2 linked regions of the Rattus norvegicus genome follow. The protein of the gene in region 1 interacts with the protein of each later gene in a pairwise test. Links are inferred from orthologs where the notes say so. Each region holds a gene or a part of one and is shown in the gene's direction. Other genes may lie near its edges.

Region 1 (3,826 bases):
AGTAAAACCAAAAAAAGAAAAAGAAAAGAAAAAAGAGGCAGAGCTAAGGAGAATCACAAGTTCAGCACTAGCAGAAGCTTCACAGAGAACTTAAGAAGCCCCCTTTCATATAGACAGACATATAAAACTGAAAAACAAGGAAAGAATGAAAATAACTTTGCTTGTGCCGTCCTAATGTGACTGTGTCTGTGAAATGCGGCTTAAGCCTTTCCTCCATTGTCTGTTTACACCTGAAGCCATTATACACCTTTTAATGATTAAATTCAGCTTTGGTATTCTGTTTGTGTATGAGTGTGTGCTGTGGTGGCCAAAGTGTGCCATGGTGCACTTGTGGAAGTCAGAAGAGAGCTTTTTAGAAGTTCTTTTCCCTGGATCAAGGGATAAGCCTCACGTCATGCCATTAGGCTTGCAAAACAAGCACTTTTACCCATTAAGCTATCTCCACTGCCCCATTGCACACTTCTGTGTTTGCCTGTCACATGCAGTTTACAGACTCAATGACAAGAACTTCTTTGTTCTCACCCCCGTAGCTCTTGGCCTTTTGAATTAGGGTCTGTGATCAACCATCCAGCTTCTTCTTCATTTCCTTTTATAATAAGGAAAATTTCAAACAAAGGTAGAAACAAATGTTCCTCTCAGCTTCAACAAGTCTCAGTACTTGACCATATTATATTTATCTTGGGAGTGTTTTGAAACAAATACCAAATAGTGTAGTTTTGTTGCTTGTAAATAAATGTGTGTTTATTTAAAAACAACAAAACAAAAAATCCTTCCATTTTGTGGTAGTTTAAATGAGACTGTCCCCAGTAGACTCTGACATTTGAACCATTGGTTCCCAGTTGGTGGTACTTTTGGGACATTTAAGAAAGTATGTTTGTTAAAGTATGTCTTGTTTAAGGAAGTATGTCATGGGTGGGAGTGGAGGGTTGGGGGTAGGCTGATAGGCTTTAATAAAGACTTGAGCCACTCCCAGCTTGTTTTTTTAATTTGTGCTTGTAGTTTACAGCGTGAGCTCTCAGGGTTGGTGAGATGGCTCAGTAGTTAAGAGGACTGGCTGCTCTTCCAGAGAACCTGGGTTCAGTTCCCAGCACCCACATGGTAGCTTACAACTGTCTGTAACTCCAGTTCAGGGGACCCAACATCTTCACACAGACACACATGCAGGCAAAGCATCAATGCATGTGTAATAAAAATAAGTAAATTAAATTTTTTTCTAAAAATAAAAATAGAATAGTCCTAAAGCATTTAGATTCTATAATATTTTGTGTAACTTATTTTTAAAGTGTTATTTTTATATTTGTATGTATATATGTATGCGTGTGTTTGTTTGTGTTTTACCTGCGCGCATATATATATATATATATGTATACACACACACACACACACACACACACGTATGCAGTGCCTGTAGAGACTAGAAGGGCATCAGAATTCCAGAAGTAGAATTACTAATGGTTGTAACCTGGGTCCTCTGGAAGAGCAACCAAGTGCCCTTAACTGTTGAGACATCTCTCTGTCCCTGTACTATTTTGTCTAATTACAAATATTATACTTGACAGCTTTGTGCCTGTGACTTTTTAAGACTTATTTATTTTAATTATATGAGCATATTGTATCTATCTCCAGACACAACTAAAAGAGGGCATCAGATCCTGTTACAGGTGGTTGTGAGCCACCATGTGGTTGCTGGGAGTCGAACTCAGGACCCCTGGAAGAGCAGTTGGTGCTCTTAACCCCTGAGCCATCTCTCTAACCTGTGACTTTTTTTATAGTGGAGTGATTTCCTTGGGAAGCTGGAGTACAGACCAAAAAGTCACATGATACTGTATCAAATCTTGGCCTTTATATTCTATTAAAGAGTTCTTCTTTCAGACTGAAAACCTCAAGGGCTTATGAGGAATACATTACTTGGCTCTTTAATCTTTTATTGTTTCTGACCACACACACACTTCTTCAGGTATATTTTGTTTCTCTGGTTTTAATTTGTTTCTAAACCAGGTTCTACTAATGTAGGCCAAGGTCTTCTACCTTGTAGTCCTCCTGCCTCATCTTCCTTAGTACTGGGGATTACAAGTGTGTACACACAATTAGGGCTCCTCCCTTCCCTCGAATAATGTCACACTATGTAGACGACTAGCTACAAACTTGAAATTCTTCCTGGTACATCCTGCTGGGAGTAACATTTACAAGAAAACATGATTCTGTGTGTCTCCTATTTTAAAAAAACTAAAGTGAAACTAGGGAGATAGTTTAGTGGACAAAATGCCTTCCATGCAAACGTGATGATCTCAGTTTGGATTCCCAGAACCGCATAAAGACCGAATGCAGTAGCCCATGTGTCTGTATTCTCTAGCCTGCCTGGGATTTAAAACAGTAAATAAGAGGCCCTGTGTCAAACAAATTTAAAGGCAAGTTGAAAGACAAGGTCTCACTATCTAGGTTGTCCTCTGACCTCCACAAGCATGCTGTGACACATGCATCCTCCATATCATGCACATTCTCTCTCTCTCTCTCTCTCTCTCTCTCTCTCTCTCTCTCTCACACACACACACACACACACACACACACACACACACAGAGGTGGGGGGGCAAACAAATAATACAAAACATAAGGTAATAGTTGAAGTTAAGGCTTAGCTTTAATCTTATTTGGAGCACTAAGCAGGATCTGGATATGAGCAATGTAATAGTCTGTGTAGGTGATTTAAGACCACAGGAAAACAGATTGGCATTGTATCTTGGAGGTGGCACACCTGTCTGACACACACAAGGCCCTGGGTTTAGTTCCCAGCACTGTTTAAAACAATAACCAAACTATAATAACCACAGTAGTAAACAGTATAGTGAAGAATTTCCCTGTTATCTGTTGTTGTCATCAGGAAAGCAGGGTGATTGCTTAGTTCAATATGACTGGGGTCATTTCTCGAACTCATCGTGATACTTATAGTAATGTAGTCACCATCTTTTGAACAAATTGTGTATCTGCTAAATCTTTTTTTGTTGTTGTTTTGTTATCTCAGTTTTTCCTAATAATCCTGCAAGGAAAGTTTTGGCCTTCATTTTCCTATTAGAGAAACTGAAGCTAAGAGTAACTAAATATAAACTATTAGAGAATGTTTCTGATTTTTTTCTTTCTATTATATGATTTTTTCCCCCTCTACCTTGTTCCCCAGGATTCCTAGAGTTGCCTTCTGTGAGCAAACGTTCTCCTCTTAGACATGTAGTTGTGAGTTAAATGTAAGAAAATGTTATCTGTCATCACAATATAGGCTTCCATCGATGTCCCATAACTTCAGTTTATAATCTGAGTTCAGTGCCTGGCGTGTGATATAGAGACTAGAGAAGAGAAAGAGCACCTCAGAGACTGCTTACTGACACCTTTACTTCCTAAAGTTTTCAAGGTTGAACATTAAGGGCATTTTAGCCCTTCAGCCCATTATCTTTTCCTCTCTGATTACCTTTTTTCAGAGTCTGAATTCTTACGCAAATGGAGCATATGGCCCACCTTACCCTCCTGGCCCTGCAACAGCAAGTGCTGCCTCTTACTCTGGGGCTTACTACGTACCTGGCTATGCTCAAGGCACTTACTCCACGGACATTCCTAGCACCTACCGTTCACCTGGTAACAGCCCGACTCCAGTGTCGCGTTGGATGTATCCCCAGCAGGACTGTCCGACAGAAGCGCCTCCTCTGCGGGGTCAGGTGCCGGGGTATCCTGCTTCACAGGTAAGCAGCCTCCTGGGAAGGAAAGAAAGCGCCTCTATTTCCTGAATTTCAAATAGTGGAAAGTTACCCATTTATACTAGTGCTGTTTAGGAAGACAAGT
Region 2 (3,826 bases), on another chromosome or scaffold:
ACTAGAGTGAATATTATTGTTAATCATGTGGAAGTGAAAGGGGCTGTGACAAGGCAGAACTGAAAGTGGCTCTTAGAGTGGCTGACAGTTTTACTTCTAGGGAGTATACCGTCTTAAATCATTAAGCCAGACAGTACATTTATTTTCTGTGTTAGTTTTATTTGTAGATAAAATGCATTGCACAGTGCTCAGAACAAGAACATGTAATAAATGATTATGAGGGGACTCTTTCATTAGAAATGTCATTTTGGGACCCTGGCTTGACTACTTTGCCACTAAATATGGCAAAGCATTGCTTGTTTGCTTTCAGCAGAGGTCTGAGCTTAAAGAATTGAAATCACAGCTAAGTAAAGGATATTCATACTTCAGATAGATTGAATCATTACAATACTTAACCCTGTGACTCTTAAGATTGCTCAGTGGCTAAGTAAAGGTGTTTTCTACCAAGCATGGTGGTCTGAGTTGGGAGAAGAGAACGAACTACTGATAGTTGTTCTCTGTCCCCTCTCAGAAAGACACAGACACACACACAGACACAGACACAGACACCCACACACACACCCACACACACCCACACACATATATACATACATTACCCATCTTGAATTTCAGGTTAGTTTCAGGTTAGCCATGGCTGTATACTAGAGGAAAAAAAAAGTGTTTATTGTAGTACGCATTTATAAGGAATGCCAATTAGAGGAGAATAGCACTCTAATTTCTTTAAATTTGATTCTCTTGGGTTTGTGACTATTTTGTTACCTCTAGGTCTAGTAGTTGGCTTTTACCTAGTGAGCATATTCATATTTGTTTCTGGCTAACTGATCTGATTTCATTTTCTTGGCACTGTCCATTAAACCTTGGGCCTTGTGCGTGCTACTCAAGCACTTAGTCCTAAGCCATCCCTAGCTGTCTTTCCACATTTAAGTCTACAGTAAAGTCTCACTATATTGCCTAGGCTGGTCCTGAGCTTACTCTGTAGCTCAGGCAGGCCTTGAATTTGAGATCCTTCTGCCTTGCCTAGCTAGGCAGCTAGTCTTGTTCTTCCACATCCAAAAACCTAGTATGATTTATTTTGAGTATTAGTTTAAAAGAGATATGGAAAATAACTTTTTTGGAAAAGCCATGCTTACAGAAACATTCAAGCATTAGTAGTTACTGTGATAATTAAATGACTTTGCTAAAACTATAAAAACACACATTTCTAATATATAAAACAACTCCAAAGGAGTTATGTAAGTTGTTAAAGTTTTTTATGTAGTTTAGCTTTAATAAATTTCACCTTCTCTTGTCCAGTTCTGTGCACTTTTCTCAAGTGTGCTCTTATGTAAGCAACATTAAATCAAGAGAGGATTGCTTCTTTATCCCTCCCATCCCCCAAAAAGAAAAGCTGTTTATGAATTTATTTTTGCTTTGGTGTCATCTGTAGATATATGTCCTATTACTATTAGCATGTAGTTGTACTATTAGTGTTGCTTGTGAATGAAGGCAAAGTATATTTGTTCTGGCTAAATTTCCAGAGTAACAAATTCAGCTTGTGGTTTGTAAGCTCAACTCTGTGTTAGAGCTCTGAATTTAATGCTATATTGAATAATGAGATGAAACTGTTTATGGCTTTTAGTGTTAAAATTATCATGTAGATAGCACAACTTTATAGTTTAGTACATCATTTTAAAAATTGACTAAAATTTTCTAGTTAAATTCCAAGGGTTGTGTTATTTAACATCTGTCAAAATATCACATTTTAAGTAATATATTACATGAATATAGCTATTTTTACTAGGTTGGAAACAGTTTATTATCCTAGGGGTTTAATATGCAAACAAATACATTTTAACTTTGTATTAAAACTGAAACTCCTAGATGTATAATTTTAAATAAAGTTAGTAATGAATATAGGACATTACAGGGATAAAATATTGTATTTAGCCCATTTTTTAGATTTTGTGTCTCCTTAAAACTGGAAATTCATGATTTAAAATTGCTTATGTTCTCCCGAAGGTGCCAGGAGAATGTGTAAGGTTGTTAAAATCTCTATTGTGTTCAATTTTGTTTCTTGACTTCTGTCTTAATGATTTGACCCAGAGTGATAGGTTGCTGGAAACATCTTTGAATTTGCACTGGGTAACCAACCTCCCTCCAAGTGTTTGTTTTTAAGTCAATCCATGAGAATTCAGTGTTCTGTGATTATACTGGGGATGAAAAAAAAAGCAGGTCAGCTACTACTTATAAGGGACAATAGCTGTGCATTGCTATTTCTTGTTTTATTTCTTTGTTAATTATTGCCATCCTATCCCTAATAATTTTCCTATTTTTATTGCTCTAGCCTATCTTCAGCCTTCAGCAGCAGCAGCACCACCAGTGGCAACACCGGTGGCAGCACCACTACCACTGCCACCTCCATTGCCTCCTCCTCCTGCCACTCCTCTTGAAGCAGGAGATGCTTCAGGGTTTCCTCTTCCACCACCGCCGCCGCCTTATTCCTATGATCCAAGTGGAAGTGATCTCCCCCAAGGTAGTTTATTTTGAGATTTGATCCGGGTTATTTAGACTTGAGATGGCTTCCACGTGGTTGATGGGTACAGAACCAAATGAGAGTAATTTGAGGATATAATTCAAGGTGACTAACAAAGGGAGCAACTGCAAGTATCTTCTGCATAGATGACTAGTAGATAGTTGGATCGAGTCATGACTCTTCCTCTGCTCCTCTTTTGTAGCTACATGTCTTTCCCGAAAGAAATTTACAAATGAGTAGCTTTGTTTTTTTCTCAAGTATTTTATTTTAAATTGGGATTTAATATTAAACATTTTCTTCTGTGTCGTTCCTGAAGTGTATGAAATTGTTAACCTTTTTAATACTTGGTTGGTATACCAACTGAATTTGGAGGAAATAGAGAAAGCTTCTATTCATCTGATCTGCTTTGGAGATAAACCTTGTATTCTTACTTTCTTAAACAATCAGCAGTGATTTTTTTCCATTGGAAGTTTTTTGTTGCCCGAGTTTAGCTGTATTACTCGAAGAGAATTGTAAGTCATTAGCAGCTTGCTTATTATAGTTTTCTTGCTTTTCCTGATTTTTTTCTGATCTGTGCTTTTTTTTTCCGAGTTCTTTCCAGCAGCTGAACTAGTCACCTAGATTTTCTCCAGGTCTGTTGTTTTGATCTTTTTCCATATAGTATGTCTTCTTAGTCTATTCTAAATCTACTTAGCATTACTTGGAAATTTTGGTGACTTACTAGGCATTTTCACTTAGCTTTTTAACTTTCAAACTTAAAGGTCTCTAATGAAATTCCTCATCTTTTCCCTCTTGTCTTTCACCAGTCAATACAAACATTTATTCCTCTTCTTGGTTTCATATTTTGTAAGTATTATTGTTGTTTCTACCTAATTAACCTAATATCTAAATCCTGAGTCCTTTATTCTGTCAACCTTTTGTGCCCAAGTAGTAGTCATCCATCAAAGAATGCAGGTTTTCTATTTTCTAGCAGTTTACTGTGAAAAGACTCAGATAAACAGTGCTAATTTTTTTAAAAAAATTAATAATTGCCAGGAAGATTGTGTTGTTTAATATTCAACTACATTGTTTTATCACATATTTGCTCATTGTTCCTTTTATCCTTCTGACTAGAAATTAACCTACCTTGTTTTTGATGGCTTTAAAGGTAAATTGTATATATTAGAGCTCCCCAACCATAATGGATAATAATAAATATGAGTATATATACACAGTGGAATACTATTCACCTACATAAAAGACAAAATCCTGTCCTTTGTAAATGAATATAAAGAACATACATAGTTTTTGATAAAATAAGCCAGGTACAGAAAG

The links.
Region 2: the proteins of Bag4 (region 1) and Alg13 interact in binary tests that used the Homo sapiens proteins (3 or more experiments, as listed by UniProt). The link is inferred for Rattus norvegicus from reciprocal best matches to the Homo sapiens genes BAG4 and ALG13.

The regions. Positions count from the first base shown.
Region 1 is NC_086034.1:73,001,308-73,005,133, forward strand, and holds part of Bag4 (BAG family molecular chaperone regulator 4), read left to right. Parts: exon of another isoform or gene 1-3,468; coding exon 3,469-3,726; exon of another isoform or gene 3,727-3,738; intron 3,739-3,826. UniProt on the Homo sapiens protein: Inhibits the chaperone activity of HSP70/HSC70 by promoting substrate release. Prevents constitutive TNFRSF1A signaling. Negative regulator of PRKN translocation to damaged mitochondria.
Region 2 is NC_086039.1:112,726,796-112,730,621, forward strand, and holds part of Alg13 (putative bifunctional UDP-N-acetylglucosamine transferase and deubiquitinase ALG13), read left to right. Parts: intron 1-2,323; coding exon 2,324-2,512; intron 2,513-3,318; coding exon 3,319-3,358; intron 3,359-3,826. UniProt on the Homo sapiens protein: Catalytic subunit of the UDP-N-acetylglucosamine transferase complex that operates in the biosynthetic pathway of dolichol-linked oligosaccharides, the glycan precursors employed in protein asparagine (N)-glycosylation.